6 linked regions of the Xenopus tropicalis genome follow. The protein of the gene in region 3 interacts with the protein of the main gene of each other region in a biochemical or structural test. Links are inferred from orthologs where the notes say so. Each region holds a gene or a part of one and is shown on either strand. Other genes may lie near its edges. The genes, in order: rbm15, alyref, nxf1, nup214, nup62 and ran.

Region 1 (5,590 bases), on a different chromosome or scaffold from region 3:
GACATATGCATTAAGGGAGCAATTGATAATCTTATTTCTATATACATGCTATGTAGTATAAATGACAAAGTCAATTGTTAGCTATGACCCTACATAGTAAAAATGTATGTGATTTATGTGACACGTGGCAAATTTAGAGCTTCCTTGCATAGCTTACTCTATGCATGAAACCTACATACTGGCTAAGGAGCTCTCTGTGGTATGGGGCACTCTTATATCTGACACTTATATGGCACTGTTCTACAAACATGCTATATGACCCATTTCTTGATGGAGGAAATAAACTAAACAGAGTAAGTTTAAAAATAAAATTCCTTCTTAATATCATTCAAATCCTCTCTTTAGATGTGTAGGATAAACATATATATGTTTGTGTGTGTGTATATATATTATATATATATATATATATATATATATATATATATATATATATACACACACACATACACATACATACAGTATTTACACTGAACTCTACTGCATGCTGCAGAAAACTAGCAGAAAAGTGGATACTCGAGCATGTGGTAACGGGTCAAATTAATACATGGAAGTCTTTTTTAACTTTGTATTCCCAATTGTTGCTGGACAGCATCACATGAGAACATTTTTGGTGTTACAGTCCAGTGACAGTTTGGGAACCAAATTTAAGAAGTAATGTATTCAAAAATTAGCAGAAATCTCACACTTAAAAAAATTCAAGAAGTTGCCAAAATCAGAAGATTGTGATTACCTATGCTAAGAGAATATAATTTAAAGAAAATGGGAAATAGGCAGGAAACGTCAACACTTGAATATGGTCCGGTCCTGTTTAATTACATAAATGCTTTTGCTAAGCAGATCAAAAACTGCAATACAAAGACTGAACTTGCGATTACAAAAAAAAAAAAAACTAAAAGTTATACTGTATCCCATAATACCTTGTGAATAGTAGACAGAAATACAAACATGGACCTAGGATGCCCCACGAACTATAATCATTATAAGGTAGTCATCATCAGACTTCACAAGGGCTTTTGCTTCAGCATCAAGAAACTGCTGGGAAAAATTACAGGGAGGAAAAGCATGAAGAACTCCTGCATGATCTTTGTCTTTATTGCTCCCAACGGGCAGGCTGATAACACCTGCGGCTTGTTTTTGTTTTAAGTAGGACACCAGGTTTCTTAGGGGTCGTTGTGTTGAACTGGCTTGGTCCACTGATGAACCCTCGGAAGTACCAGGAATGGCAAGTAGGATGGCATAGCCATTAGGCCCTGCCACTCTGATGCGTCGAGTAACTTCATCCAACTTTGGCTGGTCAAGTCGTAGGCGCTGTGTAATTTTTAGCTGTGCCACCTTTCCTCCTGAAGGTCCCTCAACCAGCAAGCTGGATGCAACTCCAAGATCTCCTTGCAAAAGGTGCATATTGGATGGAAAATTGCTGTTCTTAAGCAGCAGCATACCTTGCCAAGCCAGACACAGCTTGTGTGCTGCTTCTGATTTTTGTGGAGGTTTCACTTTGCTGTTGCCCTCTGGATGCTCATCCTTTTTTAAAGGGCTTTTATTTGCAGGTACACGATGCCTTCTTTCTCTTTCAACTGAGTTTTTTCTATCATGTTTGTCTTCTTGACCCCGCTCCAGGCTTCCCTTCCAATCTCTAGAAGGTGAGGAGCGGCATGCTACTCGATCAGAGTCATTGTAACGGTTGTCTCGACCTCCACTGCCTTCAGGGCTACGTTCAGGAGTGACACAGTGTCTCTTTCTAGAGCGGTCACTCTCTGGTGATCTGTCTAGGTGACGGCTATCATCCAGTCTCCTTTTCCTGGGCTGATCTCTGTTCACTTCATCTCTTTCACGGTCTCTGTCTAAAGCCCAATTATCTGCACGTCGTTCTATTGTTTCAAGAGATTCACTAGTGACTCTGTGTCTGTCTCTGGCAGGAGGTGACACCCAATCATTGTTTGTATAAGCATCTCTTTCCCTGTCCCTGAATATTAAAGGTGGTGAACGATCTCTGGCTCTGCTGGCTTCACTAGTCCGATGTCCTGGTGTCTCCTCTCCAAAATCAATATAAGGGATGGGTAATGGCTGAACATAAGGATGTGGAAAACGAACATCTGCTTCTGCAAAATCCACACGAAGTCTTCTATGGTCACCCCCCATAGGGAAGCCTCTCATCTGGGTACAGGCAGCTTGGGCAGCATCCAGACTTTCATATTGTATATACGCCCAGTTTTCCCCCTTGCGGTAATCAATTTGACGGATGGTGCCAAATCTATCAAATTCCCGGGCCAATGCAGTTACTGGTACCCAAGGTCCCAGACCCCCCACCCAAAGGCGGTTTGTTGGTACTACTTTCCCATAGCCGATCTTTAAAGCATGACTACGAAGCATCTTGCCGGACATTGCAACCTTTGCCCTGTGAGCCATGTCAAGGTTTTCAAACTTTATGAAACCATAGGTCGTTTGCTGCCCACGACCAGCTCGTTTTATATCTACTTCTGTAATAGTTCCAAAACGTCCAAAGACCCTATAAATTTCACTCTCCTTGACAACGACATCCAGATTTCCAACAAAGAGTGTACGATTAGCTCTGGCATCAATCTCTAAAGCAAGGTCTTCGTCTCTAAAGTTCAGTCGGGGATCTACTGTGTAGGTAGACCTTAGCCGGCTATCATAAAGGCTGTATTCCCGTTCCCTGTCCAGCTCCCTGGGTAGAGCTGCCGGAGCCGGTGGGAGGCGCCCCAGAGCCAGCTGCTGCAGCCTATAGTCTCTGTAGCCCAGGCCGCCGGGGGAGAGTGCGCGCTGGCCGTGAGGGTGCCTGTGTGTGGCTAGTGTGGAAACAGCGGCGGCGAGTCCGCCATACGAGTCTTTCTCCCCAGGGCTGCGGCTGCGCCTCCGGTTAGTACCGCCGACATTCAAATAAACAGCCTCAATCTTGAGGGGTCTGTCGTAAAGGACAAGCCTCCCGCGGGCGTGCTTAGCGGCTCGGGCATCCAGGGCGCGCCTGAAATTCACTAAGGCCACACGCTCGTCCCCCTCGCGAGAGATTTTCACACTTACGTCTCCGAATTTTTTGAATTCATGGAAAAGTCCATCCTCTATTGCCTCGTCACTTAGCGAGGAGCCCAGCTCGCTTATCCGCAAGGATTTGTAGTATTCTGGCTCTGCACGGCTCTCTGTAGCCCGGCCGCCGCCGCCTCGGCTCTCAGCGCCACCTTTACTGCTGCTACTGCCACTGCTTGCCCCGGGGGAGCCGTAGCGATGCAAGCCCTGGGCTCTGCTCGATTGATCATAGTCGCGGCTCGAGGAAATAGCCTTTTCCACATGCAGGCTCCGGCGGCCTGTGCTGCTTTCAGATGTCTTTCCCGATGATCCGTTACTGCCTCCACCGGAGCTCAGTTTTTTTCCGCTTCTCTCGCGAGTTGATTCCTCCGCCCCCCGGGACCGTTTGGCCTTGGCCGGGGAGCGCTCTTTTCCCTTCATGGCGAGTTACGGGATGATAGTGTCTTCACACACAACTACACTCCGCCATTTTGCAGCGGTTTCGCCTAATTGACCGCCCTGAATAGCGATTGGGTACTTTCTGGCTTTCTTAAAATTCTATTGGATAGCTCTGCAGTCATTCTTACAAGATCGCATAGGATGGGGTGGTCTTTGGGCACGTCACTTCCGCTATTTCTCTGCGTTTCCCACGGGGCGTTATGGGTTGGCTAATGGCTACGTTGCAGGTTTATTAAAGCTTCGATCCATCCTTTCACGCGTGAAATCTTTTGTGCTACAATGGTTTCTAAGGTTTCATTTGTTTCATATCAATTTTACTTTTGTAAAATTTCAGTGAAATGTAAAGAGGAACGTTGGAAAGAGACAACATTGGCATATCAGATGCAAAGCGTTTTAAACAACCCAGTAGAATCGATTCTATATACTTTTGCAGGTTACTAGGCTGCTGGATAGGAGGTGCATAATTGTTCAAGTGATTTTAAGCCGAGAACGTCGTTTCAGTTAAAAGTAGATTTTTTTTTTACACATTATTAGTGGTGTAATTAGTTGTTACTGGTCCCCACAACAAATTCATTTTAGAACTATTAAACATATGCTAAATTGGGTAATTAAAATTGTTTTTTTGTAAGGACCATTCTAGGCCCTTTGAATCTCTAGTCTGTTTCCCTTTGTAGTACCACCCCTACAGATTATTAATACACTATTTCATGTTTGTGTTTCACTCAAACATATCTTACTGGTATTTCCTTTGCTGTTATTGTCAAACAATCCTAATGCAGTATTGTTACTATACAGGGATATATAGATTGTAGACCTTTGGTAACCTCTTTAACATTTTAACACAATGTTCTATAAGGTACATTTATTAATACCGTGTTATGTGCAAAGTGCAATTTTCAAAACAAATTTTCCAGCGTACTTTATTCTAGAATTCAAGCCTTGCAGATACTTTTATGTGATTGTACACAAAATGTTTTGGGCATTGATCCCTTTATTAAATGTGAACAGTGGCAATGTGTTCAGAATGTAGGAGAATATAGCTCCAGATCCCAATAACCTATTTAAACCATGAACCTCGTAAAAAGGTTATTTCCCAGATTTTTTTTAATTTATGCCCACCAATAAGTGACTCATTAGGTGAGGCACTGAACACAATATTACAAAGCGAGGCAAAATAGATAACAAAAACTATCAAGTACAGGTATCGGACCCCTTATTCAGAAACCCATTATCCAGAAAGTTCAGAATTAAGGGAATGCCAAAAATGGCTTCCTTTTTCTCTGCGGAAAGACTGCTTATCTGGAAAACCCCAGGTCCCAAGCCTTCTGGATAACGGGTCCCATACTTGTATGTGAAATATGGAACTTTAGAATATTATGATGACATATCCTTCTTTTCTTTTTAGATGAGTGATGAATATGGAGCTTCTACTGGATGTGTTCAAGCATTTTTTTGTTTTCAGGTATTGATATAAATTAAGTGATGTAGGAGCTAATTGAATGGGTTAAATGTTTAATAAACATGTTTGGGTCCCCTGCATAGACCTGTTGAGGGCAGTATCCTGTTTAAAATATTCTTTTAACAGATAATTGTTTTAATGGATTTTTCTAATATTTTATGAACTTTATTATTTATTATGGCCTTTATTGTTGGTCCTACAGCTATGTAAGGTGACACAGAATTTAATGGAGCCCTTATTTAATATGCAAATGTGGGCAATGGATGCATCACATAATGCAAGAATTGTTGAAAAATACATTTTGACATGGATTGCACTTTGATGAGGTTTTTGGAGGTGGAGCCAAATAGCCTTTGAACACACACAGGGGCCAATCCCAAAAACATGTTGTATGCAATAGTATAATAAAGTATTTATAAGGTTTGCAAGCCCTGAGTAAAGGTCCCCATACACTATAAGATCCAATTTCAGGCCAGATATCGGTCTGTCAGGCCGCTCGTTTCTTCCCATACACGGGCCGATTAGCTGCCGAATCGGTCCAAGGGACCGATATCGGCAGCTTCTATCGGCCCGTGTATGGGGGCCTTTAGTCTTTGTTCCAACCACATTTTTTCTGGGTCCAACAATGGACCCAGGTGGGGGATTTCATTT
Region 2 (5,186 bases), on a different chromosome or scaffold from region 3:
TTTTGCTTCCAATAAGGATTAATTATATCTTAGTTGGGATCAAATACAAGGTACTGTTTTATTACAGAGAAAAAAAAATCATTTTTAAAAATTAATTATTTTCTTATAATGAAGTCTATGGGCAATGGCCTTTCTGGATAACAGGTTTGCAGATAAGGGATCCCATACCTGTAGTTGAGAATCCCAGAACTAGCACTGCTCTCTTCAGTTGTTAACTAGTAACAAAAGGAGATGACCCTCTAGCGGTGATTAAATCACACTTTGCTCAATCTAAATGTTTTAACTACTCTTCCTGTAAGCCAGAGCATGGCTGCAGATGAATGAAGGACCTGTTAGGCCAGTGCCACATGGGCAGATTCTCAGCCTGGGGATGAAGGCCAAGAATCTGCCCCTCCACTTTAGAAACCTACAAGTTGTGCCTGTACCCAGGAGCATTGCTTTGGTCTCAAGGCATGCAGACGCAGCATAACCTGCTGATTCAAGTGTAAAGGCAGATTCTTTGTCTGTGGGCTGATTCCTAGCCTTCTGTAAAACAGGCAGAGTACGAGTCCCTATGCGGATACCAGACTGTTAGCTTGCCTGCATCCAGAAGCATGGCCTGATACCATCTTCTATTACTAGGATTGAGACAATGCTTCAGAGTGTAGGGGTAGATTCTCTGCCTGTTTCCTGTATGGCAGTAGCCTAAGACTTTAAATAGTCCCATTATCTTTAAATAGACCCTGAATAAGAGGGGAGAAACCTTTCTACAAACATCCTTTGTTAAAAAAAAAAAAAAAAAAAAAAAAAAAACACACTGATCTACAGTTAAATAGATTTTATGGAAGTCATGCACATCAGCCAGTTATGAACACATGTTTTTATTGCCAGAGAAAGCAGTTTGCAAGAAGTATAATTAGAAAAGATTGTACCCAGTTCTCTCACCTTCAGTGATCTCAACTTACAAATTCCATAGGAACTACTATGATGATATTCTTTTAACCACCCTCATAGCAAATTACCCAATATATGTACACTTCCCAAATTCATCTAATAACTAAACATCCAATCACCCACTAAGTCTCATTTTGGTAAGTCCATGCAGCAAAATGTGACCATTAAATCTGACTTGCATTTTTTTTACAATTTAGCCTAATTTTTAAAAGCAAATACTATTTAAGAAGGCATGTAAACACGGTCAGAGAACACAAATATGGTGGACACCTGGAGAAAGTTTAAAAATCATCCCATACACAAAAACAGCAACTGAATAACAGATTGATTTTTTTTCTTTTTTTATTAGAGGAAGGTGAAGAGCACCCTACCATCAACATTCAACCAATAAAATGTCCCAAAATAACTCCGTACAAAACAGGTCTGCATCGGACATAGAAATTAAGAAAAAAAATGAAAAAGACTTTACATGAGCTTAAAACCTATGGGAAATAAAAGCAAAACAAAAATCCATCTGTTGACATTTTTCTTCAGAGCAAGCAACATCACAGGAACAAGACAGAAGGGATTAGCTGGTGTCCATCTGGGGAAGAGAAAAAGACCATGCTTAGAATTTATCATTTGTAAATAGTTGTCAAACTAAGCACTAGTTATAAATTTTGGTTATATTTGCTTAGACACAAATATACCCCCAAGATGTAGCCTATAGCAACCAGTCAGCAATTCAGATTTGTCACCTACAAGTTAGAAAACACAAGCAGAGATCTAATTGGCTGCTATGGGCAACATCTCTGGTGATGTTGGCTTGCACACCATTCTATATATGCCCTAAAAAGTATTCATTACTCAACATAAGTGCAATGAATAGGGCTTTCATTGTGCACTTTTGCCTATTTGAAAAATATCTATGGTTTGCATTTTCTTGCACAATCTGCCCAAAATTACTATGAACATCTGTGCAAAATTACCACGAACTCGCTTTCATTTTCAAGTTCCCTATATAGAGCAATTGTGGAAGTGGCCATTTTTACAGATAGGATTAATGTTTAGCCCAAAGGGAAACCAGCACTTTATTATTCATAATTGCCTACAAAATTAGGGTTTTTCCCCACTTATCCAATATGTCTCCTTTAACATTTGTGAATATCCCTTAGTAGTTACTGGAAAATTAGTAACAGTCAGAGGAAGGCAAAAAAAAAAACCCATCTGAAGCCTCTCTAATTTGCTGCAATGGGGAAAAAAAAAAAAAAATTCTTTCGACTCCAAGATGGCAATCGGACCAGTCCCCATATCAACTTGTACTGGTAGTAAATCCTGTAGTTTCTTACCCGAGCATTGTAAGCATCAAGCTGTGCATCCAACTCTTCTGCTGACAACTGCTGTTTTGGATTTCTTCCAGCCCCCCTTCCACGACCCCGATTTCCACCTCTGCCGCCACGCCTGTTTGCACCAGAAAAACCTATAGCTCCTCCTCGTGGCCGAGTGATACCACCACCCCTACTTTGGCTGCAAAATATAAAAAAAACACTACTACATTAATGGTGCTGGGGTTGAAAAGTTCACTCATAGTGCAGTATATCTTAACGTGAAATTTAAAATAGCATATATTAGCTATTAATATAAAGCAGACTTTTTAAAGGAATGATGTAGAGCCCTTGACACAAGCCAGAACCCCTGCATTGCAAGCAAAGGTTTTATTTAAAAAAAAAAAAAAATTGAAATTACTTTCAAAACTAAAGGCACATGCAACTAGAAATGTTTCTGAAATTAACTTTGATCCTTGTGTAGTTAGCCTTTCCACCACAATCTGCTTAAATGGTCCTTATAATTTATTAGTATGCAGCAGGTGCTTTTGTCCTGGCCTGGCAGCAAAGCAGCCCAAAATATTAATTTCTGCACCATAATACATCCTGTGTTCATGCAGTCTGCCAAGAGCAGTGGTTCAGCCACTGCAGGTAAAGGAAACATATAGTGTGCTGCAAGCCCTAGTATAAATTACAATATCAAGAACATACATTATCCAAGCTAAATAAACCTTTTTTCCTTACCTCTGTATAGGTCTTCTCTGTGCTTCTATCTGTGATGTGACCAACTGAATGTTCATGGGCCGACCTACAACAATAGGAGAGGGCTGATTTTAGACAAGATAATTATGTATTTTATTTATATAGTTGGCCATGTTAAGCAACTCACCATCCAGTGGTACCCCATTATACTGCTTCATTGCTTTCAGAGCATCGGCTTTTCTTTCAAAGTGCACATCTGCAGTGCCCAAGCTTCGCCCAGATCGGTCATAATGTACTGCTGCCTTCTTTAAAGTACCAAACTCTGCAAAGAGCTCCTGTTGAGAAACCACCACATGTACTGATTTGCAGAGTAGCGAAAGTACAGCCTAACCATATCAGTAAAAGCTTTTGAATTACTGCAGTGATTGTGACCAACTTATTTGCAACTTTATACAGTTTCCTTGCATTTGCATGGTTGAAGACATATCCTATAAAAATTATAAAATATGTACCAGTGAGTTACTCTCCTCTGGATATAGGATTGAGCTTAAAAAAAAAAAAAAGTTGTGTTTCAGGCAGGTTTTCAAGCAGAAGTGAAACTTCCTGGAATGCCCTGCTATTGGTGAACACTCAGCTGAGTAATAAAGGTCAGATGTGCTCTGTGGAGGATATAAAATACCACAAAGTTCAGGTGTGAGCGTGTTTTAGCTAAAATATTTGCACTGTGCAAGAAGGCCCTTGTTTACATTTTATCGCTAAGAGGAGATTCAAATGTTCTATCTGCAGCAATTCCAATGAAAAATTTATTATGGAAGCACAATTATGTGGGTGACAATGCCATCTATCCCTCCCCCAAAAAACACGCATATTAAGCCAGTGACTCCTCACCTGAATATCTGCATCAGAAACGCCAAAGTCAAGATTTGACACAAGAAGTTTTCCTCCAGTCTCCATACCAGCGCCTGTACCAAAACCACTATCGAACAGATCATGCTGCCACTTGTCAGGGAGTTGTTTCGGCTGTAAAACAAAAAACAAAAACGTCATTAATCCAAAAGCCACAAAACACTGCCTGTAGCGCAATGCCCACACTGAAGCCAAGAGATCTCAAAAAGGTAAACTCTACCAACTGCCATACAACGAGAGTAATGAGGTTAACACTTGAGAAAAAAAGAGGTGGTGCAGTCAGACATCTAGGATAGATATCAGCTCCAGCTAAGAGGACTAAGGTAACATTACTCTGCATGCAGGTATGCTACAAAGCCTTAGGACAATGACACCGGGCACAGCAGGCACCAGTGATCTGCTGCCATATCACTCATACAAGATTTTGAGATCTTAAGGTGGCCGTACACATTAAGATCCACTCACTTGGCGACCTACGGGTGGGCGATATCGGGGGAATTTAGGCTAATCCGCCATTTGGCCCTGGGGCCAAACGATCGAATTAGAACACCGGTAATAGGCGCAGTCAGTTTGGGGACAGCATCAACGAGTCGATGCGGTCCCTGATCAGACCTGCCTGATGGATATCTGCCCAATTTCAGGCCAGATATTGGTCAGGCAGGCCCATCGTTAGTGCCCATACATGGGCCGATAAGCTACCGAACCAGTCTAAGGGACCGATAACGGCAGCTACAATCAGCCTGTGTATGGCCACCTTTAATCTAGCACAAACGCATGCTGGGAATCTTCCGTGCATCTACAATGACATCAGGGGGGTATGTTACAATATAATGTCAATTGCCAGTCAATACCAGTAATGCTATGCTAATAAGTTGCTAGGAGAAGCTGGAACATGCACAGTAGTGGAATATGGTGCCTGACCTCCTGGAAATTGCAAGTTGCAAAAAGCATGACGCTACCATTGGGTAAGCATTCTTAAACATAAGCTAAAGTAGGGTTTGGTAAATGGTCCTTACTGCAAAAACAGAAATTTGTATGCCAACATTTACCTTATATTTCACTGCCTGAGAAGTGCAGCATTACTTAGTAACTAACCTTTACAAGTACATGAGACCAGTTATCCAGAACGCTTGGGACCTGGGGCTTTCCAGATAAGGGATCTTTCTGGAATTTGGATCTTCATACCTTAAGTCTACTAAATATAATTTAAATATTGTACAAACCCAACAGGCTTATTTTGCCTCTGATAAGGATTAATTATATTTTAGTTAGGATCAAGTACATGGTAAAGTTTAATTACAAAGGAAAATTATTTTTTTATTAGAACTATTTGCTCATAAT
Region 3 (5,092 bases):
GTTGCCCTGTGCTGGTACAGCTGGTGTGTCTGCCTCAGAAAGACTGCTATAGTTTATATAAACAAAGCTGCTATGTAGCCATGGGGGCAGCCATTCAAAGGAGAAAAGGCACAGGCACAAAGCAGATAACAGATAAAGCCCCATTATATTCTACAGAGCTTATCTGTTATGTAACCTGTGCCTTTTCTCCTTTTTTCCAGGTTAAATGGCTGCCCCCATGGCTACACAGCAGTCTATTTATATAAGCTATAGTACTGTTACTTTAGCAAATACACAACTTTACCTGTGCAGGGTAACAATAAATTATATTTTAAATACTTTAATACACTTTCATTTTTGGCATTACTGTTCCTTTAAAGGTGGCCATACACGTGGCGATCCGACGATGTTTCGTACGACCATCGGTCGCACGAAACATCGTAAGATCCGCCACACACCATTCAGGGCTGAATCGGCAGGTAAGGAGGTAGAAACAATAGGATTTCTACCTCCTTCTGCCGATTCAGCTCTGAAGGGAGAATTTTGGTCAGGCGCCTTCTATGGCGCCCGATCAAAATTTTCAAACTTGTCCGATCGGCGAGTCGTCCGATATCGGCAGCTTCCTGCGATATCGGTCGACTCGCCGACATGCCATACACGCACCGATTATCGTACGAAACGAGGTTTCGTACGATAATATCGGTGCGTGTATGGCCACCTTTAGCCTAACAGCACTGATTAAAGATTGTGAATTGTTGACAGACAATCCCAGATATCACAACACAATGCACTATAATTTAATCTAAAAATACACTAATGTAATTGTTTGGCAATTACGTGAATACAAGCCACCCCGAGCGAGAACCATATCAATGAGCTGATGAGGTCGTTTGATAAGACAGAAAAAATTAAACCAGTCAAACATCTGCTTGATTTTTGGTCAAATATCAGTCAGATAGGCCCCATACATGGTAAAATAAGCTGCCAATTCTGTCTGAAGGGCCCAAACCATAATCTTATCAGCTACCTGTTTATGGACACCTTTAAGCTTAAAGGGGAAGGAAAGGCTAGTAAAGAGTTAATCTCAAGCTGCAGGCATACCTTCAGTTGTCTCAATAGTGCCCTTAAGTCTCCCCATATTTCAACTGGTTAGAAGATCTGAAGCCAAACAGGAAGAAAATACACTGAGCTGCGTAAAGAAAGTTCCCATAATGCCTCACTCCTGCACAGACACGAATACTAAGTGAACATGCTCAGTTAGACTATGAGTTAGCTTCCTGCTGATTGGCTCAGATCCACATTCCTAAGGGGGGGGAGAGAGTCCTTAGCATTCTTGAGGGAGGGGGGAGCAGGAGAGGGGAGAGAACAGAAAGCTGCGTGTCTCTGGCACAGGAATTACAGACCCAAATTATCCTTTTTCAGAGAAGTCAGTGCAGCGTTTCCGTGAGTGCTTATAGCTGTATTTACATAGACCTTTCTGATAAAGCTTACTTAGGGGGCAGATTTATCAAAACAGGAGTTCGAATCCCGAATGGGAAAAATTCGGATTGGAAACGAAAATTTCTGAAGGTCGCAAATATCACGAAAATGCTTACGAAAAAATCGTATTAGTCACGATAATATCGTATTGGCGATCTGAAAGTCACTGAATTTTTATACCAAACAATTGTAAACAGCGGCAGAGCCTTTCCAAAATTGTCGAGAATACACTCGAAGCGTTCGCATAAACGCTCCGAGCGTTTGGATCTTGGTAAATCTCCCCCTTAGTGTTTACCTTTATTTCTCCTTTGTCAAAGGGAACATAATAAGCAAATCTACACCTGGGCAGAATCAATGGCAAACAATGCTTTATTGTTTTACCTGCAGTCAGCTGCAAAAGAGCTAAACACTGATTGATTGCTGCCCAGGGACAAATTTGTCCAGTGTTTACACATAAATCCCAATGTGTATTTTCCATGTATTTTTCAATGCATTTCTGGGGTAAACCAATAACCTTCTCACCCATCACCTCTCAATAATTTCTTTACTGGTGGCAGACACAGCTACTTGCCTGGGGCAGCTTTCCATTTTAATGGAACAATTGCACTTAAAATGTACCACCCATTGAAAATGGATATTTAGACAACATTTCTGGCCACAAATTGCATCGGGTGATTGATGCGATTCTTGCCCAATGGCCAGCATTCTGTTGTTTGATCCAATAGTTGTGACCCACGGCCCTCAAGGTGGGCATATTGGGGAATGATCTGCACTTTAGTCAACCTTGCCAAACAAGTGGATCTTTACATGTATGGCCAGCTTTAGTCAGGTTCCAAGCTGCACCTGTTTAGAACCAACATCTCTGGGTGATCAATCATCAGGTTTTCTCTACAATACAGGAAAACAGCAAATGATTTAACTTACTTGGATCTCTGAGTCTTCTTATATTTCTGCTGTCCTTGAAATATTCTCCAAGACTACTCCTGTTCAAAGAGACAATTATATTTCAAACTAAATACTAACCTTTAATAACATGCATTTTCTTGTGCAACTCTGCTATTACAAACTGCAGAAATTGCTCAAGGAAAGAATAGAGAGAAAACAACAAACCTAGAAGGGTTCTGGCCTGGATTTGAAGGAATGCTCAGAGAGCAACATGCCTCATCATGATACACATTCAGAAGACCCTGCCTGTCTTCAGAATCATAACAGGCATAATACCTGAAAAACAGAAAAAATATTAGGAGAAAGTTGGCATGTGTTCATGTGATCAGGATCAGCTGTTTAGCTGGTAAAGAATGTGGGACACTGTGCATCTTTACCAGATGCAAAAAATAAAAATCAAATACTGCCTAAGCAAGCAGATGACAAGCTTGGTAGTGTCCTGAATTGTGGGAATTTTCCTTAAAGGAAAACCTTTTACCCCCCAAACAATGTAGGCCTCTATAAAAATATATTGCATAAACCAGCTTATATGTAAAACCCTGCTCCATAAAAATATACTTTTTAGTAGTATGTGCTATTGGGTAATCCTAAATAGAAAATTGCCATTTTAAGAATTAAGGGCCGCCTCCTGGGATCACAGGATTCACAGTGCACACAAACAAGCCAAGGCACACATACATGCTAGGCCCCATCAGCCAATGAATGGACAGTGTTCTGCCTTTTGCTCCCACACTACTTCCTGTTACAGTTAGAGCTGCATTATTTCTGGTCATGTGATCTGAGGGAGCAAACAGCCTGTCACTTAATGGTGGATCAAGGGAAAGGATGTAAAAGGGCAATATTTACTGATATAATATTCCAGTTTGGCGAGATTCTTTAATAGATCACTTAACGTAGTATAAACCATCAATATTCATTCTGGGGTATAGTTTTTTTTTTTTTAAAGGACATGTCAACTCCAAAAATAAATGTTTGTCTAATAAAAGAAAATATAATTCTAAGAAACTTTCCAACATACATTAAAAATTATTAGTACTTTAAAAGTTTTGGAAATGTAATTGTTTTTAAAAGTAACAACCAGGAGATCAGCAAATGCTGATTTCTATAATAATGTTTCAAGTGCCAGGCTCCTCCAGCAAGTCAGGTCTGTCAGTCTGCTAGCAGTTACATTGTTCCAAACACCAGAGCCAACAGGGCAGAGAATAGAAAATGACTGGCAAACACAACTTCTAATATGTATTATATACAAATAACTCTAAAACCATTACAAATATGCAATGAATGTATATTTTCAAAGTTGCTTAGAATTAAGTTTTCTTTTATTAGACAAAAAAATATTCAAGAGAGAAAAAGGGAGAATAATTTGGGCTACATCCAAGACTAACAGAACATATGTCCAATTCAAGATTGTGCCTGAAAACAAATAGCTGAAGATATTTTACCTCACACTGACCCATGGGGAAAAGTGTCGGTGGAAAGGCCTTTCTATCAGTAAAATTACTCTAAACAGCCTCCAGAATTACCTACCTTTGTCCCAGCATTCTCTCTGACCTGGTTCCTCAGTTAGAAGGCGATTGTTTTTCTTTACTTCCTTGTGCAGAGTGAAGCCCTGCCCCCACTCTCTGTTCAGTTCTCTCTACCTGTAGTCGACCTGGAGACCCTTCTGCGCATGACTGGAGTCAGCAGAAGCCAGTCTGTGGATTAGCAGTTTTTTTTGTTTTTTTTTATGAGAGACCTGAACAGGAAGTGGGGGTGGGGCTTCACTCTGCACAAGGAAGCAAAGAAAAACGATCACCTTCTGACTGAGGAACCAGGTCAGAGAGAATGCTGGGGACAAAGGTAGTTAATTCTGGAGGCTGTTTAGAGCAATTTTACTTATAGAAAAAAAACAAAGTTTACTTATTCTTTAAAGGAGAAGGAAAGGCAAAGTCACTTGGGGGTGCCAAAATGTTAGGCACCCCCAAGTGACTTAAAAGAGAAGGAAAGGCTAAGTCACTTGGGGATGCTAAAATGTTAGGCACACCAAGTGACTTTAATCGCATACCTTTTCCCCCGGGCTGGTGCCCCTGTTCAGAGACAACAGCACCAGCCCGGGGTACCTGTAGCGCTTCCTCCTTCCGTCTTCACGAGCATGCGCATGCGCAGTAGAGTGAAAAGCCGTACTTTAACAGAGAACTCGGCTTTTCACTCTACTGCGCATGCGCCTACCGTGTAGTCGCAGCGAAACAAAGCCGGAAGGAGGAAGCGAATCGCTACAGGTACCCCGGGCTGGTGCTGTTTTCTCCTAACAGGGGCACCAGGGGTACAAGGTAAGCGATTAAAGTCACTTGGGGTGCCTAACATTTTAGCATCCCCAAGTGACTTAGCCTTTCCTTTTCCTTTAAGTAGGAAACTCTGTATGACTTCAGATAAACAAAGTGACAAGTAGGACTTATCACCAGCGATTCTCTTTGTGGCCAGTGGAAAGGTTTTTTCGGGGAGATCGCCCACTATCTCTGCCCATTGTAGCAGAGATAGTGGGCGACTAATCCGTCCATGAGGCATAAGCCTAAAAGCTAAGAGAACACTATCATGGCAGAGCAGTATTGAGTTGGCATTATAGGGGTTAACACTGGAAATATTTGGTCTTAGACACACTGAGAGACCCCAATTAGATATTCCAGAAGGAGGCTGTGGAAAGGTGTCACAC
Region 4 (5,092 bases), on a different chromosome or scaffold from region 3:
AAATAGGCCATCCCCGGGTTTGCCGATGGCTGCAGCAGTGCTAGTAACGGTGGATGAGGATGACACGCCTGTAACAACACTAGGTTTGCCCAATGTGGATTCCACGGTGGAAGTACTGGAGGTGGAGGAAGCAGTTTTAACTGATCCAAAAGAAAACGATCCTTCTGCCCCAGGACCAAATAAAGACTTGCTGGTACCTCCAAACACAAAGGAGGATGGTTGGTTGGAATCCCTTGCAGCGGTAACAGAACCTGAAAAAGGAAAGAAAATTGCAGTCCATCATATCACCATGATAGTAGTTCAAGCAGAACAAGAACAGTAATATATATATTTTCCAGGGTGAGTTACCTGCAGAGCTGCCTCCCATGGCAGAGGTTGTAACAGGAGCAGAAGATACACTGTTGAAACTGAAACCACTGCTGTGAACACAAAAATGGAAGTGAGAGAATGAAGATGTTTTTTTTTCTTATAGTTACAAGTTATAAGCATTCATCTGCTTCAGGGACACTGCAAGCCCTGTTTCAGAAGTCACTGTTGGAATAGTTTAGTCGGACTGGGGGACCAATGATCCACTCGGAACCTAACTCAAGGGCCCACCACCCAGAAACCGCTGTTCCTGTTCCACTTTTTACTGTGCATTCCATAGTGGAACACATGGCAGCAGAGTCGTGCTGGCTGGGATCGCTTGCTTGCGAGTAGGTGGCAGGGCGACACAGGGTCCAGTATCCCAGTGGGCCAGTCCAACTCAGCCACCACTGGCCTCTAGCAGTAAAGGGCTCTTCCTCCAAAAAAAACATGCCTGCAATAGCATCCCATTTTCATTTCTGCTAACTCATAGCACACAATCTTGGCTGCTGTCGGAAGCTTAGCTACTCACCAGCAGCCCAGAGCACACTGAGCATGTGCAGTGTCACTGACACAAAAAGATGGCCGAACAAGAACCAAAATGGGGAGCTATTTTAAGGCCTGGATCATTACAGTTATAGGACGCCTGGACTTCACGGCTGGTACATTAAGTTCAGTATATAAACTACAGCACTATAAGGCACATTCGTTTTTAGGCTTCGGTTCTCATTAAATTTAAACTCCCAGCACAGCGTCGGACTGGGCCGCCGGGGTACCAGGAAAAAACCCGGTAGGGTGTTGGGTGCCTCTGTGTGGGGGGGAGTGAAGACGGCGGGGGCCATTGGGGGGTGCAGGGGCCCCTGAAGCAGAAGCCCCGGTGGGCCCTGCACCCCCCAGTCTGATCCTCCCTTAATCCCACCTTAAAACGGATACTTTCTTTTCTTCTACACATTGAGATTCCGTCTCATATGGAGACAGACTGCAGTCAATAGGCCACTTACCTTGCAGCGGAAAAGGAAACAGGCTTGTTGACCTGTGAGGCAGCTGTAGAGGCAGCAGGAACCGGGGTTGCTGGAGGATCAGATTTTGGGATTGCTTGCACTAGAGAGAGAGTAAAGGGTTATCATTAGAACACAGCTGTCCAATCCAAACGTGCTTATGGCTGGTAGCAAATAAACTGCTTTTAAGGCAAGGCAATGATAGTGTGTCATAAAATATGTAGTGATCTGCAGCAAGTTCCTCTGAATTCCAAGTTTATAACGCATACCTTGCCCTTGCACATCAGAGCCACTCACCTGCGGCTTTGTTGGAGGCGGATCCCTGCCATGTTTGAGGAGCGATACCGGTTGCAGATGCAGGTGCAGGCTGATTCTTCAGTGGACCAGCTGGGGCGGCCTAGGGAGTATTTATTTTTCATGAGTTTTATTTGCTTTGGGGTAATGCTGCTTATAAATAACAGTAAAAGCAAAGCGAATGCACAGCTATTTGAAGCCAAGGTCTTTGAGAATTATGACTTCCAGAATGCTGGGATATGTAGTTCTGCAAGGCCTGAGGCACTTACTTGTATCTATAGTATAAGCAGTCAACCTATAAAGTTAGCATAAGCATATTGAATAATGAGGGAATAGGATCATATTAGGGGTCTGGGCTGACACAATGGTAGAGGGCTGTATCAATGGTGCTATGCAGCCATCATCCAATAGGCAATAACCAGACAAATTCTGCAAATCATTGAAAAAATAGATTAAGAAAGAGAATCTCTAAGTTATTTCCCACTGATAGGTCCTGAATCAATATATTACAAGGAATGACATATTTCAGTGAAATAAACAACCATTTATTGGCTCAAAATTAAACCGAAAATTAAAAAAAAAGCAAACATATTAAACATACTACATGCTTCAATGGTGCGAAATGCGTTAGGAGAGTGGGTACCATGAGGCACTGGGATGCACCTATCCATCGTTTGGTATAGTATGTTTAATTTGTTTGCTTTTTTTGAATTTTCGATTTAATTTTGAGCCAATAAATGGTTGTTTATTTCACTGAAATATGTCATTGCTTGTTCAAATTCTGCAAATCGGATGCAACGGCCAATCTGAAAGTGACAGAGGCCACACCTCCCATCCCTTTTTCATGCTTAGCATCCAAGTGCACATGATGACTGGACAATCTGCAACAGGAACCAGCCCACGTGGTTGCTTAAGCATTAGGGGTCTACTGTCAAGCAGTCCAATAACATAACTTAGCAGGAAAAGCAGAACACTTTAATGAAAAAAATGAATCCGTACCTGCCGTGCTGGGACTGACCCAACTGTGGCCAAGACTTGGTGAATCACCTGGGCAGCTGATTGGGGAACTGACGGCCTGTTTAAAAACCAAAAACAGAGATGAGGGATTAATACTGAGGGTAATTACTATATAATACAGTAACACCAAACCAGAAGCCCTCCAGAGTTTAGAAACAACTCCCATCACCCCGGACAGACCCACTGCTGGTAGAATGTTGGGAGTTGTAGGTCAACACCTGGATGCAGATGCTTGCTGTGGTGCTAAAGGCAGAGTTATAAACATCACAACTAATGGTGCCTGAATATGGCAGATCAAGTGGACATGCATAGGTGAGGTAGCACGGCATTCTCCATTTTGTAACATGAAATGCTCTGGCAAAATCAGTCATGTTATCGGTGCAGTATGGGTTCCTTTGCACACAGACACAGTGTTGTCAGTAAAAAGAGAAAGCTGGGAGATTATCGTTAGCTTCTAATCAGATAGAGTGATGGCGCCACCTGCAGGTAGGTTGCTTTACTGCTTACCCTATGACCGTGGGAATGGTTGGGCCAGGCCCGTTATTCTTTAGCTCTTTCACGTTGACCACTTGGGGAACAGTCTGTAAAGTGGATTCGGTCAAAGAGGCAGCTGAAAAAGAAGATAGGTGGATAACTAAAACTCCCAGCATTGGATATGGATACTTAGTAAGATGGGATGCTACAAGTGTGTGAGTGGGGGGGGGCAACTTCCAGCAATACAGAAAGGAGGGTTACCTGGAATCTGATTGGCTGTTTGTCTTCTTATGGCGGCCACAGCAGCTTTCTGTGCAGCTGTTACGGTGGGGGCGCCATGTTTGACAGTCTTGGTGGCCATCATGGTGCTATCAGCTCCTTGTGGAATCACTCTGATCGACTGTGATGGAGCTACAGCTGCAACAACCAAATAATGCAAGAAATCAGCTCTTTGTGACCTGTAGCTTAGGTAGATATTAGCTTGCAGCTGCATTTTAACCCACTGCCACTGAGTAGTTTGCTATTCTAACTATGCACCACCCTCCTCGCTACTTTGCCAATGACACCCATCTGACCAATGGAATTCTTTAGAGCAAAGGTGGCGATACACGGCCAGATCTGCTCATTTGGTGAGGTCGCCAAACACACAGATCTGGGCTAGATTTGGAAACCCACATATGCTGGGCCAATCAGGCTGGTCTGAATGAAATGAAATCATCCACTGTGGTTTATGAAGACCCTCAAAAAGACTACATCAACGTACTGATGCATGCCTCATCAAATGGATTTTCAAACCTGCCCAGTTATATCTAGATTATTTTTCACCAGACATACTTTTTCCAGTACTTAGAAAGAAGAAAACACAAGTCTATGGAAGGCATCTCTAGAAGCAGATAAGTACTTACGTGTGCTTGTAGCAGGCCGTACACCTGATTCCAGTTTACCAAAGGGTATAGAAGCCGTGCCAAGGCCGGGCTGCACAGATGTTGTACGAACCACAGCGGCATGCTTGGGCACTCGAACCGGGGTGGCCTCTGGTGGAGGGGTCTCCTGCCTTTCTATTTCTCTAGGTGGTGGGTTCCTGTTGTCATTATCAGCCACGTCGGACAGGGAAGATGTCGAGCTTACGTCATCCAGGTCTTCGAAGAAGCTCGGGGCCAAGAAAGCAGAACGGGAAAGATTGGCTGCAAGCAAAAATGGCTCGTTATGGTCAGGGTGTATTTATTTTATTATGAATTTCTGGCTTGGTGCAAGTATTGATTATATAAAACCCAGAGCCTTCTATAGGCTGCCAGTCCACATAGGGGCTACCAAATAGCCAATTATAGCTCTTATTTGCACCCCCAGAACTTTTTCCATGCTTGTGTTGTTCCCCAACACTTCTTCCACTTAAATGTGGCTATAAAAGGTTGGGGATCCCTGCCATGGACAGTCACTATTTATTGGGCCTGTGAGGGGCTGTTTGGGCCTCTGTGTACTTGAAAGGCAAATTATCTCTCTCTCTTCCACTCTTACATCAGGCACAGTCATCTATCAGCAGCAATTTTATCCAAATATGCACGGGTTACTGATCATATACATAGAATTTCTGCCATAAAGCATGGCCAAACTGTTGTACGTTCCACCATGCAAACAAAGAAATGGACTAATGTTTTTATGTTACCGTTGCCTATTCATAGGAATTTTAAAGAGATTTTCTGCCACAATGGCTCTATACATTATCTCTAATTAATGAAAAGGTACCTGGAGCCAGAGATCGAACAGGAGGAGTTTTCCTCTTAGTTAGAAAGTTTCTTAGCTGACATTGCTTCACTGTGGACAGTTTGGCTGCAAATGGACAAAGAACAGCTTAAGTCAACATAACTATGATAACACAACACAAATGCCACGGAAATGACCAATCAGAACCTGGCAATTGCCATAGAATGGATCAATTAGCATCTTTCCATTCCCGCTTGATTAGA
Region 5 (5,092 bases), on a different chromosome or scaffold from region 3:
TTAATCAGTTTTATATGTGAAATCATTATCTGTTTACATGTAGGCAGCAACACATTGTTTGTTTGTTTTTCAAGTGGTATCACCTTTCTTAGCTTTCATGATGATTTCTGATGTCAGAGGTATTAAGTACTTCATATCTATTAATCTGACTCTGTTAAAGGGATGATTCTTTATCTCTACAGTGCAAACACGCCCAAACTGAATTTAGGATTAGGAAATCAGCCTGCTGCTGCCACCGCTCAAACATCCCAACCCTTGGGAGGTTTCTCATTTGGAAATGCACCAGTACAGACACAACCATCTACCACCAGTGTTGGGGGCTTCGCATTTGCTGGTGGAGTTGGTTCTACAGCTACAAATGCCTTTGCACAACCTGCAGCTCCCACGGGCATCACCTTTGCAGCAGCAGTTTCAACAGCTGCAGCACCAATAACCACATCTCAGCCTGCCAGTACCTTTAGCTTTGGAACCCAGCCACAAGGTGAGAACTCACCTTTCTCTTATATGTCTTACACATTGAAAGTAATCGGGTTTAGGTACAATGGTTTACCTATTTTTTATTGTCGCCTTTCTCTTCTTCCCAATCTTTGTACCCTATTAATTCATTTCTTTGAGGATCACCATTTTCCCTATGTGTTCTTCTCAATAGCAGCCCCTGGTTTGAACTTTGGTTTATTGTCATCGACTCAGTCTGCTGTTCCTTCCACTGCTTCTACTCCAGCTGCCTCGCAGTCGGTAGCACCAACACCTGGGCTTAGCCTTACATCATTGGGCAAACCAGCAGACCCATCTGCAGGTAACTACTGCCCACTGGCAGTTTCACATTGACCTTTTAGCTCTGTCTTAATTCAAAAAGGTTATTTTACACATAGGTCTTATCTTCAGGTATATGCATATTTGTGTTTATTTATTTTCTGTAACTATTAAAATACTTACAAAAAATAAAACCCAAGTAACCTTATATTCTTGAGTTTTGTAAACAAAATGGCAGTTAAGTTACCCTTATAGGTAAAGCCCCAAACTATCAGGTAAGGCTATACAGAATTCAAATCCTAGTGTGCTTAAAACGTCCTCCCTAAATTCCTCATCTCTGCTGAGATCAACTCCCCAAAGATAGTAAAATAGGTCACTGTGTAAACCATGTTCCAATGTTGCAGCAATATAGAATGAGACTGTTTATACAGTAAAGATATCTTTAAAAGAGGTGGGGTGGGGTTAAGCACACCAGAATGACAATTGTGTATCACTAACTGTCTTTCCTTGTTGTCTTGAAAATGTGTTTAATTGAAAATGAAGACTAACTTCATAGTGTCTTAGAATTCCATTATCTACACCATACTAAAAGTTATTTTTTAGGTAAACTAACTGTTAAAGTGAGTGTTAAGTAAGTTTTGTCCGAAAGGGCTATGTAAATACAGCCATAACCACTTACAGAACTGGTGCTTTGGGTCTTCAGTGAAACGAAACACCACATTTCTTTTTTTATATATATATATATATATTATATATATATATAATATATGGTCTTCTGTGTCAGACTTCCTGCTCTCAGAAAAATCAGTTTGTTCCTCCCTCCCTTCTCCTTCTCCCCCTCCTTTCTTTGCTGTGTAATCTGAGCTTAGAGCTGTTCCAGGAGCAGTGTGCAGGTACAGAAGTGAAGTCAGACCAAGTTAAAATGGCTGCTGCTGTCTTAAACAAGCAGAGAGAGCTTTTATAGCTGTTTACTTAGGTATGGTAAAGCATTCTGCAGAATAAATATAGCATTCTGACTAATCTATTGGCAATAAAATGCCTTTTCTTCTCTTTTGAAGTTTTACATTTATTTTTTTTCTGTAAAATGTACTTTCTTCTAAGTTTTGCCTTTTATATAACAGTTGTAACTCTTATGTTTAAATTGATACAGCAATGGTATCCACAGGAACCGCCACAACAGCCACACCTTCCCTTTCTTCCCTTCTGGGGACATCTGGGCCCTCTCTCTTCTCTTCTTTGGCTACTTCAACTGCTGCAGCTGTTGTGACGACAACAACAACAGCAGCAGCAAGTGGACTGTCATGTAAGTTCTCATTTTCATTTTTAAACATAGTACTGTTCAATATAAATAATCAGTACTGAGTTACCAACGTGATTCACCAGTTTTTTTGTGAGCTGCTGGTTAAAATACAACAGAAGTTGTTTTTTATGTTATTTTTGTGTGGTCTATTAAAGTGTGGTAAGTGTTAAAAAAGAGACAAATTAGGGCTACTTCATAAGCACTTTCTCATTATGAGTTATGGTTAAAAAGTAGGCAGTTTCTCCCTACTCATGTCTGTTTTTTGTGTTTTACACTATCTTCTGTGTGGATAGTTATTTGAAAAAGAGCTTTCCCATAAACTATTTTACTTATTTTTGTTAAGAGATGCCCTAATCTGCTAGCTATATAGTTTATTTTTTGTCATACTTGTGATCCTTTGTGTTTCTTTTAATCTGATTCCTGCTTATGCCAAGGGCCTCAGTGCATAGCTTTGTATTCAGTAAAGTGAGATGCATATCTCTTATTAGTGAGTTCGACTACAGCAGGCACGGGTTTTGGAATGAAGATTTTGCCAAGCAGTGCTGCACCAACAGGAACATTGCCTACCAGCAGTAAGTATAAAGTGGGAAGTTTAGCATAGCAATAATTTCTGTAGTTCTGTGTTAAACACTTTTTTCACGGGATCATAATGTAATTTTAAGTTTACTCTTATATGAGTGAACAACAGAGCCTTGAGAACAGATGTTTTTGGTGATTGTAATGCAGGGTTTTGCAATATTGCAATTTTCTGCCTTACTATGCTCTTTTCCACCTTATTGTAATTGTGTGTAAATAATGGAAATTGTGCACTATTACATCCTTTTTCCTTGCTTTGCACTTTCTTGCCCTACAATACACTGTTTTGCCATATTGAGCATTTTGAGCAATAATTAAGATAAGCAGTGTGGGTCATGTGTATTGTATACGCAGTATACTGAGGAAGCGCACTGGCACAATACTCATTAGGAGCTCAGTGACCATGGAGCACTGTGGTACCTCTCTCCTTTGCATGAAGTTATGGTTGTTTTATGTGCAAAATAAAAGTTTGCATGTGTGATACTGCCTATGTTTGTAGGCACTTGTTCGCAATAAATTATTAGACTGATCAGCCGAATAAACCAAATCTTTAGTCCAATGCTATGGCTTTTCTTTAGGAAAATAGATTATAGTATAGTTGAAGTCTTTCTTCATGCATAAAATAGTTGCTGGTTCTCATCTAGAGACTTCTGTCCTTATTTTCAGCAGCCTCTCTTGGTATGAGAACTCCACTTTCTGGAACCACAGTTCAGGCTAATGTTGTCAGTTCTGCTGCAGCTGCAGGAGTCGGGTAAGAGGTGTCACAAATGATACCATTATCAGCATAGCAGTCATTAATTTTATTTCTCTGGTTGACTGATATTTTGATTTGTGTTTTTCCACATAATGGTTTGTCTTTTTAGTACTGCTGCAACAATGACTTATGCTCAGCTAGAAAATCTGATTAATAAGTGGAGTTTGGAATTGGAAGATCAAGAAAAACACTTTCTGCAACAAGCAACTCAGGTCAACGCATGGGACAGAACTCTTATGCAGAATGGAGAACGGGTGAGAAATCTGAGAAAAAAACACTTGTGTGGCTTAGTGTAAACAGTTTTTGTGTGTGTGCAATAATGTTTTCACAGGCAGAATTTATTTTTATTTATTTTTTTGTCTGATTTCAGATCACCACTTTACACAGAGAAATGGAAAAAGTTAAACTGGACCAGAAAAGGTATGAGTAGGAAGTAAAACGGCAAAAACATAGAAAATTTGACCAAGATGAATGATGTTTGGTTGATTGATTGAATATATGTAAGAAAGGCACACCTGAGCTGAAAATCAAATGTTTTAAATGTACAATATTGCATAAACCTATTAAATAATAGTTGGTTCTATTTTTAATGTTCTCATTTATAGAAATAGATTGAGTTTTTCATAGCAAAAAAAAAAAAGTAGGAAATATAAAACATGAGTAGTTGGGAATCACAATCCATGCAATTCAAAGTGAAAAGGGGACAGGGGGTGGGATGTTAGGAAAGGAGAGGGAGGATCAGTAACAACACTTGCATCAATGCTGGAGCCCTGTCAATCTTTGAACGCATATGCAAACTTGGTGTAACTAGATAGGGGACTTCTGGTGCCTCATCTTAAGAAGCAGTGCTGAAAGTTTGGGTTTTGTAAAGATAAAAATCCCAAAGTTGTAGTGGGCAAAAGTAGTTTCCTGTTCCTTCCACGTGGCAGTGGGTACCAAAGGTTTAATCTCCCCTGCCATGAAGAAGGTACAGGAAATTAAAACATATTAAAAGTACTTCCCCTTTCCAATGCACCTATTTATTTTTTCCTATCAAGACACCCTTTAAATACCAGCAGAGTAGCTCTCCTCTTGCTGAAGCTCCTGGGGCTGATTCATCTAAAAAGATTTATGCCTTTGCTGATCAAGATGTCCATCATTGGGTATTGGTATTGTCCTTAGTCAGTTGACATGGTTGCATAGGGAAGGGGAAGTCCTTTTTATATGTTGTCATTTTCTGTATATTTCATAGTAACATAGTAAGTTAGATTGAAAAAAAGATGTATGTCCATCACGTTCAATCATCTTCCTCACAGCAGGCACAAGAACAAGTATGTGAACAGATTGAAAAAGCAATGTTTAAAGTAATGTAAAATCCACAAACAAAAACAATTCAATAGAAAGTAAAATCTTGTTTTTGCTGTGTGTATTTTCATTTTCTGTCTGGCTGTGTAGAAATATATGGTGATTAAACAGGTACACCTGCATGCTAAGCTTGCTCTTTGGAAGCTATTGGGTCTGTTTCACCCTCTCTACTCTTCTATCAGGTTGGATCAGGAACTGGACTTCATCTTGTCACAGCAAAAAGAACTGGAGGACCTTCTGACTCCTCTGGAGGAATCTGTGAAAGAGCAGAGCGGAACCATTTACCTCCAGCATGCAGATGAAGAGAGAGAGAAAACGTGAGCCAGTATTATAATGTAATAACTAAGAAGTATAAGATACAAGGA
Region 6 (4,544 bases), on a different chromosome or scaffold from region 3:
AATGTTTAGGAAGGTAAAGTAAGGCATGCTGGTGCATTATTTTTTTTTTTTAGAGGAAGGCCACTAGCCCATGATAGATTAGAACCATTGGTGAGTTCTAGCAAATGTACACCCTCCCATGATTTTTACCTTTTTAACCACTGAGTCATTCAAGAATTCCTAGTAAACAGTGTAAGATGAAACCTACAGTATCAACTATTTTCTCTTTACACAATGCTCCTTTAACATTCATGAATAAGAGGTGTAAAAGTGAGGGAGGATCAAGTGATGTGGGCTGACTATGCTAAAGCTGAATGTTCTGGGGAATGAGTAGTCTTATTATACATCTTGCAGCTGACAGTAAGAATTCTGTTACTTTTTTTTCCTCTTTTTATAGGCTGACAAACATACCATGGCAGCCCAAGGAGAACCTCAAGTGCAGTTTAAGGTAAAAAAACAAAAAAAAAAAACCTTAAAGTTATTAGGAATTTGTGCTGCATGTTTTCTAATATTATTATTCTTTGTAGCTTGTTCTGGTTGGGGATGGTGGTACCGGTAAAACAACCTTTGTGAAACGTCACTTGACTGGTGAATTTGAGAAGAAATATGTAGGTATGTAACTTGGTCATTGTGTGGTGTATAAAGCAGATGGTAATGATTAAAGGTGAGCTTTTGCACAGCTTGCTGGTTTAACATATGTAGTGATAAGTGTAAATGGAACATAAACAGCAGATTCAAAATATGAAAATAATTTTAAAGTGGATCTCTAATCAAAATCTTTTTTTAATCCATATTAAAAAAAAAAATAAAAATTCCAGTACTTAATTTTAAAGGAATTCTGGGGGGCTAGCCATGTCTATATTTTCGAGGACGAGAAAAAGAATCATGGAAAGGCAGCTCCCTGACGTCTGTATTGCAAAGGGTTTAGACGCATGGGGCGATTAGTCCCCACGCCGAAAACACAATTGGTTGCGGCGGGTTTTTAAATGTTGTGGTGACTAATTGCTGATGTGTCTTCACCCTAAAAGTGGTAGATATTAGAATGGCAGTAAGAAATCCAAGTCCATCTTCGGACTCCTACAGTTACATGAGAGTAGGAAAAACAATAGGTTACCTGAAAGCAGTTCTAATGTGTAGGGTTGGCTCCTTCTGAAAGCTCAGACTCTGGCATAATGCACTGAAATGGCGCCTACACACCTATATTGCAACTAAAAAAAATGCATTTGTTGGTTGAAGAATAACATTTTAAATGGTAGAGTGAATTATTTGTTATGTAAACAGTGTAATGTGGGAATAAAAGTATACCATAAAAATCATGACAATCCTTAAAAAAAAAAAAAAAAAAAATCATTTGTAAATGTAAGTGCGATCAAAAGCAGTGTTTCCTACCCTGTTCCTTAGGTCCGACAAAGTAACTGGTCAGGTTTTTTTCGGCTTGCTTTTGACAAAGTACAGAAAATGTAGGCAGATAACTCCTTATAGCATTTTTAAAAAAGCATTTGCAATAAATATAACCATGTATATTAAGTAAATTAGAAAGTTGTTTAGAATTACATTTCTTAGAATTGTGCTTTCATTATGAAGAAAACCATTAGGCGTACCTTTAAATTGTCCAGTAACCACAGTAAACTTTCAAAGGCAATGAAACATGGAGTTACTTGTAGCCAGCTACCTGTTGCAGTTGCAAAATAGACAGTAATGAGAATTTTGTTTTAGCAGAGATAATTTTCAGTATTATGGCAGGGTATTTTGTAGCCATAATAAATAGCTGGCTACAAGTAGATTAGTGTGTCTTAGCCTAAATTCTCCATTTATGTTAGTGCCGGCATTCTTACTTTGACTAGGGTATTCTTCATAGTTATATAGAAAATGTTGTCTATGAATTTTAGTTGGTTCCTTGTAGGATTTTTCCCTCCCCATAATTAAGGAACACTTTTGTCTTATTTATCTCTTCTATCCTGCAATAGCCACACTTGGTGTTGAAGTTCATCCCCTGGTTTTCCACACTAACAGAGGGCCAATCAAGTTTAACGTGTGGGATACAGCTGGTCAAGAAAAGTTTGGTGGTCTCAGAGATGGATATTATATCCAGGGTATGTAATGTTTAGACTTTGGAACTTTCACATACTTTACACAGTTGTATTGAGTGCCGTGTAGAACTGATGGTTTAGCTTTGAATTACTATGTAAACATAAGTACAGATTAACTTTTATTACATGTACACTTAATTTTGATAATTGGTGGTTTTTGTAGTCTGTAGTTTTTGCTTAGCACTATAGAATAGTAACTTGTTAATTGTAATGTTTTTTGGATTCCTTGTCTAAATGTTTTAATGCTGTGTTTAACTGTCTTCCAGCCCAGTGTGCCATTATCATGTTTGATGTTACATCAAGAGTCACATACAAGAATGTACCAAACTGGCATAGAGATCTTGTAAGAGTGTGTGAAAACATCCCAATAGTCTTGTGTGGTAATAAAGTGGACATAAAGGACAGAAAAGTTAAAGCCAAATCAATTGTCTTCCATAGGAAGAAGAATCTTCAGGTAAGCTTAACTTGAAGGAAGTATCCATTTTTTATATGCATGGGTTTTTTTTTTTTTTTGTTAGTGGCACACAATTGTTTTGTTTGCTCCTAACAGTAGCGGCCAATACTTTTCATTAGCTTGGAATTTACATTGATATATCTCCCCTTGTTTCAGAAAGAATCAAAATCTTGCAAATAGGCTAGAAGTTTACACATAGGGAAAACAATACTATTCCATGGCTGGCCTAAGGGGGCAGTTGCACGCGTGGAGCTAAATATTCACTATTGCGGGCCACTAATCTCCCCTAAGGGCGAAGACACAGAGCAACTAGCAGCAGCTAAAATCGCCGAAAAAGACTCGCGAGTCTTCGGCGATTTCCGGAAATCGCGCCGCCGCGTCTGCCATCCCGCCGGCGACTTACATGTTCGCCGGTGGGATGGTAGGGGTAGGCAACTCGGGGAGATTAGTCGCCTGCGAACAGGGAGTTAATCGCGGGCGACTAATCTCCCCCGTGTGCCAGAGCCCTAAATGCCTGAAAATACCCTGCCATAGACAATACTAATTGCCTCTGCTAAAACACATGTAGAGAATTATCAGTAAATGATCAGCATTGTCTGTTAGTAGCATCGACAAGTAGCTGCTACTAGTAGCTCCATGTGTCTTCACCCTAACAGGATTTTGGGCTTGTCAGCCTTCAGCTCCACTAGGGGGAACTAATTAATTTTAGATGATAGGTACCCTTTTTTTCATTTGCTTTCGTTCCCTGAATTTACCTAGAATACAACTTGGGTTACATGTATTACATTTTAGCCTTTACCTTCAAGCTGCGCTTTAGACAAGATTGCACCTTAAATGAGGTCCCACTCTTCTGCATAATTTAAAAGTATTCTAAGCTACTTTAAATGAAAACAATATCTGCCCTTTTCTGTTTTCCTGGCATAAATTAGCAGATACCATCTGATTAACAGATTCATGCTATTCATATCTTAGATTTTTCTGCATGAAGTTATCTTTAGCATATCAAGAAAAATCATGGCACCAGAAAGTGCTTACTGTTACTGCGCATACCCTGTTTATTCCTAGCTCACTTATTTTGTTAGCTATTAAGAATAATGCTATTTGGGTGGAAAAAGATGACATCAAAGACTGCAATTAATGCAGAATTAACTCTTGGTTTGGGTTTGTGCTGTCATTTAGGGTAGTGGTGTGGGTGTCTTAGTTTGGTTCTACAGGTTAAAAGTTACAAAACGTTGCATTGCTTTAAATGTGCTTGAAAATTAGATTTTTAGCGGTTAGGTAGGTAAGCAAGGAGGGACAGCAGTGGGGAAAACATAGAAAAATGCAACTACCCATATAAAATACAAGAGGAAACCAGGTATCCACCTTGGACAGCTGTGACATGCTGCCCGTTTATGTATGGCTCTCAGACCATGTTAGTAAAAACCAACCACGCATTCTGCGTAGAGGATTAGCTATACAACTACATAGTTTAGGATATTACTGGAGCATATTATTACTTTCCAGCACAACATTAGAGCTTTGGTTTTTATCATTTGCCCTTTAAAAAAAAAATATGGAGCTGTTGGTAGACTTGGTGCTCATAAAGTCCTTGGAGGACCCATTATCCTACTTTTGGGTTACATTTGCTTTTTAAGGTGCTGTGTAAATCTGTTGGTCTATACACATAAAGGGTAAAATCTGTGCAGCCTTGTCCTATTTGAAAGTAAATGTGTATTAGTCCTCTTTATAGGTGGTCTGATAAGCCGATTCTATAAAAAACATATCTGTAAAACAAGACCATGCCGCTGGTCTAATGTCATATCTGTACTGAATAAACATGTAGCTTTTAGATTTTCTACAGTGCTAAATTTATTCTGTTTTTGGGAATGTAGATCCAGCATCATAAAGGTTTGAATTACTTTGTAAATAAATGGTTACTAAGTCTACTCTTAAGTCCAGGGCCAAACTTGAAGTCCTATATCTATGGTAGATGGGTACTGTGCATGTATTTTTATTAAAGGCAACTTATTAATATATGG

The links.
Region 1: the proteins of nxf1 (region 3) and rbm15 form a complex in vitro, tested with the Homo sapiens proteins (2 studies listed by BioGRID). The link is inferred for Xenopus tropicalis from reciprocal best matches to the Homo sapiens genes NXF1 and RBM15.
Region 2: the proteins of nxf1 (region 3) and alyref form a complex in vitro, tested with the Homo sapiens proteins (2 studies listed by BioGRID and IntAct). The link is inferred for Xenopus tropicalis from reciprocal best matches to the Homo sapiens genes NXF1 and ALYREF.
Region 4: the proteins of nxf1 (region 3) and nup214 form a complex in vitro, tested with the Homo sapiens proteins (4 studies listed by BioGRID and IntAct). The link is inferred for Xenopus tropicalis from reciprocal best matches to the Homo sapiens genes NXF1 and NUP214.
Region 5: the proteins of nxf1 (region 3) and nup62 form a complex in vitro, tested with the Homo sapiens proteins (3 studies listed by BioGRID and IntAct). The link is inferred for Xenopus tropicalis from reciprocal best matches to the Homo sapiens genes NXF1 and NUP62.
Region 6: the proteins of nxf1 (region 3) and ran form a complex in vitro, tested with the Homo sapiens proteins (2 studies listed by BioGRID). The link is inferred for Xenopus tropicalis from reciprocal best matches to the Homo sapiens genes NXF1 and RAN.

What each region holds. Positions count from the first base shown.
Region 1 is NC_030678.2:72,274,551-72,280,140, reverse strand, and holds the start of rbm15 (RNA-binding protein 15), read right to left. Parts: upstream 3,555-5,590; 5' UTR 3,463-3,554; coding exon 952-3,462; 3' UTR 918-951; intron 1-917. UniProt on the Homo sapiens protein: RNA-binding protein that acts as a key regulator of N6-methyladenosine (m6A) methylation of RNAs, thereby regulating different processes, such as hematopoietic cell homeostasis, alternative splicing of mRNAs and X chromosome inactivation mediated by Xist RNA.
Region 2 is NC_030686.2:27,889,101-27,894,286, forward strand, and holds the end of alyref (THO complex subunit 4), read right to left. Parts: intron 3,960-5,186; coding exon 3,828-3,959; intron 3,275-3,827; coding exon 3,127-3,274; intron 3,046-3,126; coding exon 2,982-3,045; intron 2,440-2,981; coding exon 2,262-2,439; intron 1,517-2,261; coding exon 1,502-1,516; 3' UTR 1,271-1,501; downstream 1-1,270. UniProt on the Homo sapiens protein: Functions as an mRNA export adapter; component of the transcription/export (TREX) complex which is thought to couple mRNA transcription, processing and nuclear export, and specifically associates with spliced mRNA and not with unspliced pre-mRNA.
Region 3 is NC_030680.2:36,504,235-36,509,326, forward strand, and holds part of nxf1 (nuclear RNA export factor 1), read right to left. Parts: intron 2,680-5,092; coding exon 2,569-2,679; intron 2,442-2,568; coding exon 2,383-2,441; intron 1-2,382.
Region 4 is NC_030684.2:12,377,363-12,382,454, forward strand, and holds part of nup214 (nuclear pore complex protein Nup214), read right to left. Parts: intron 4,956-5,092; coding exon 4,872-4,955; intron 4,313-4,871; coding exon 4,034-4,312; intron 3,546-4,033; coding exon 3,390-3,545; intron 3,265-3,389; coding exon 3,162-3,264; intron 2,713-3,161; coding exon 2,637-2,712; intron 1,741-2,636; coding exon 1,641-1,740; intron 1,447-1,640; coding exon 1,347-1,446; intron 420-1,346; coding exon 349-419; intron 252-348; coding exon 1-251. UniProt on the Homo sapiens protein: Part of the nuclear pore complex. Has a critical role in nucleocytoplasmic transport.
Region 5 is NC_030684.2:38,697,176-38,702,267, forward strand, and holds part of nup62 (nucleoporin-62 C-terminal-like protein), read left to right. Parts: intron 1-182; coding exon 183-481; intron 482-649; coding exon 650-796; intron 797-1,903; coding exon 1,904-2,056; intron 2,057-2,541; coding exon 2,542-2,625; intron 2,626-3,295; coding exon 3,296-3,380; intron 3,381-3,492; coding exon 3,493-3,637; intron 3,638-3,753; coding exon 3,754-3,803; intron 3,804-4,909; coding exon 4,910-5,044; intron 5,045-5,092. UniProt on the Homo sapiens protein: Essential component of the nuclear pore complex. The N-terminal is probably involved in nucleocytoplasmic transport.
Region 6 is NC_030677.2:157,739,102-157,743,645, reverse strand, and holds part of ran (GTP-binding nuclear protein Ran), read left to right. Parts: intron 1-376; 5' UTR 377-391; coding exon 392-427; intron 428-506; coding exon 507-591; intron 592-1,946; coding exon 1,947-2,072; intron 2,073-2,335; coding exon 2,336-2,523; intron 2,524-4,544. UniProt on the Homo sapiens protein: GTPase involved in nucleocytoplasmic transport, participating both to the import and the export from the nucleus of proteins and RNAs. Switches between a cytoplasmic GDP- and a nuclear GTP-bound state by nucleotide exchange and GTP hydrolysis.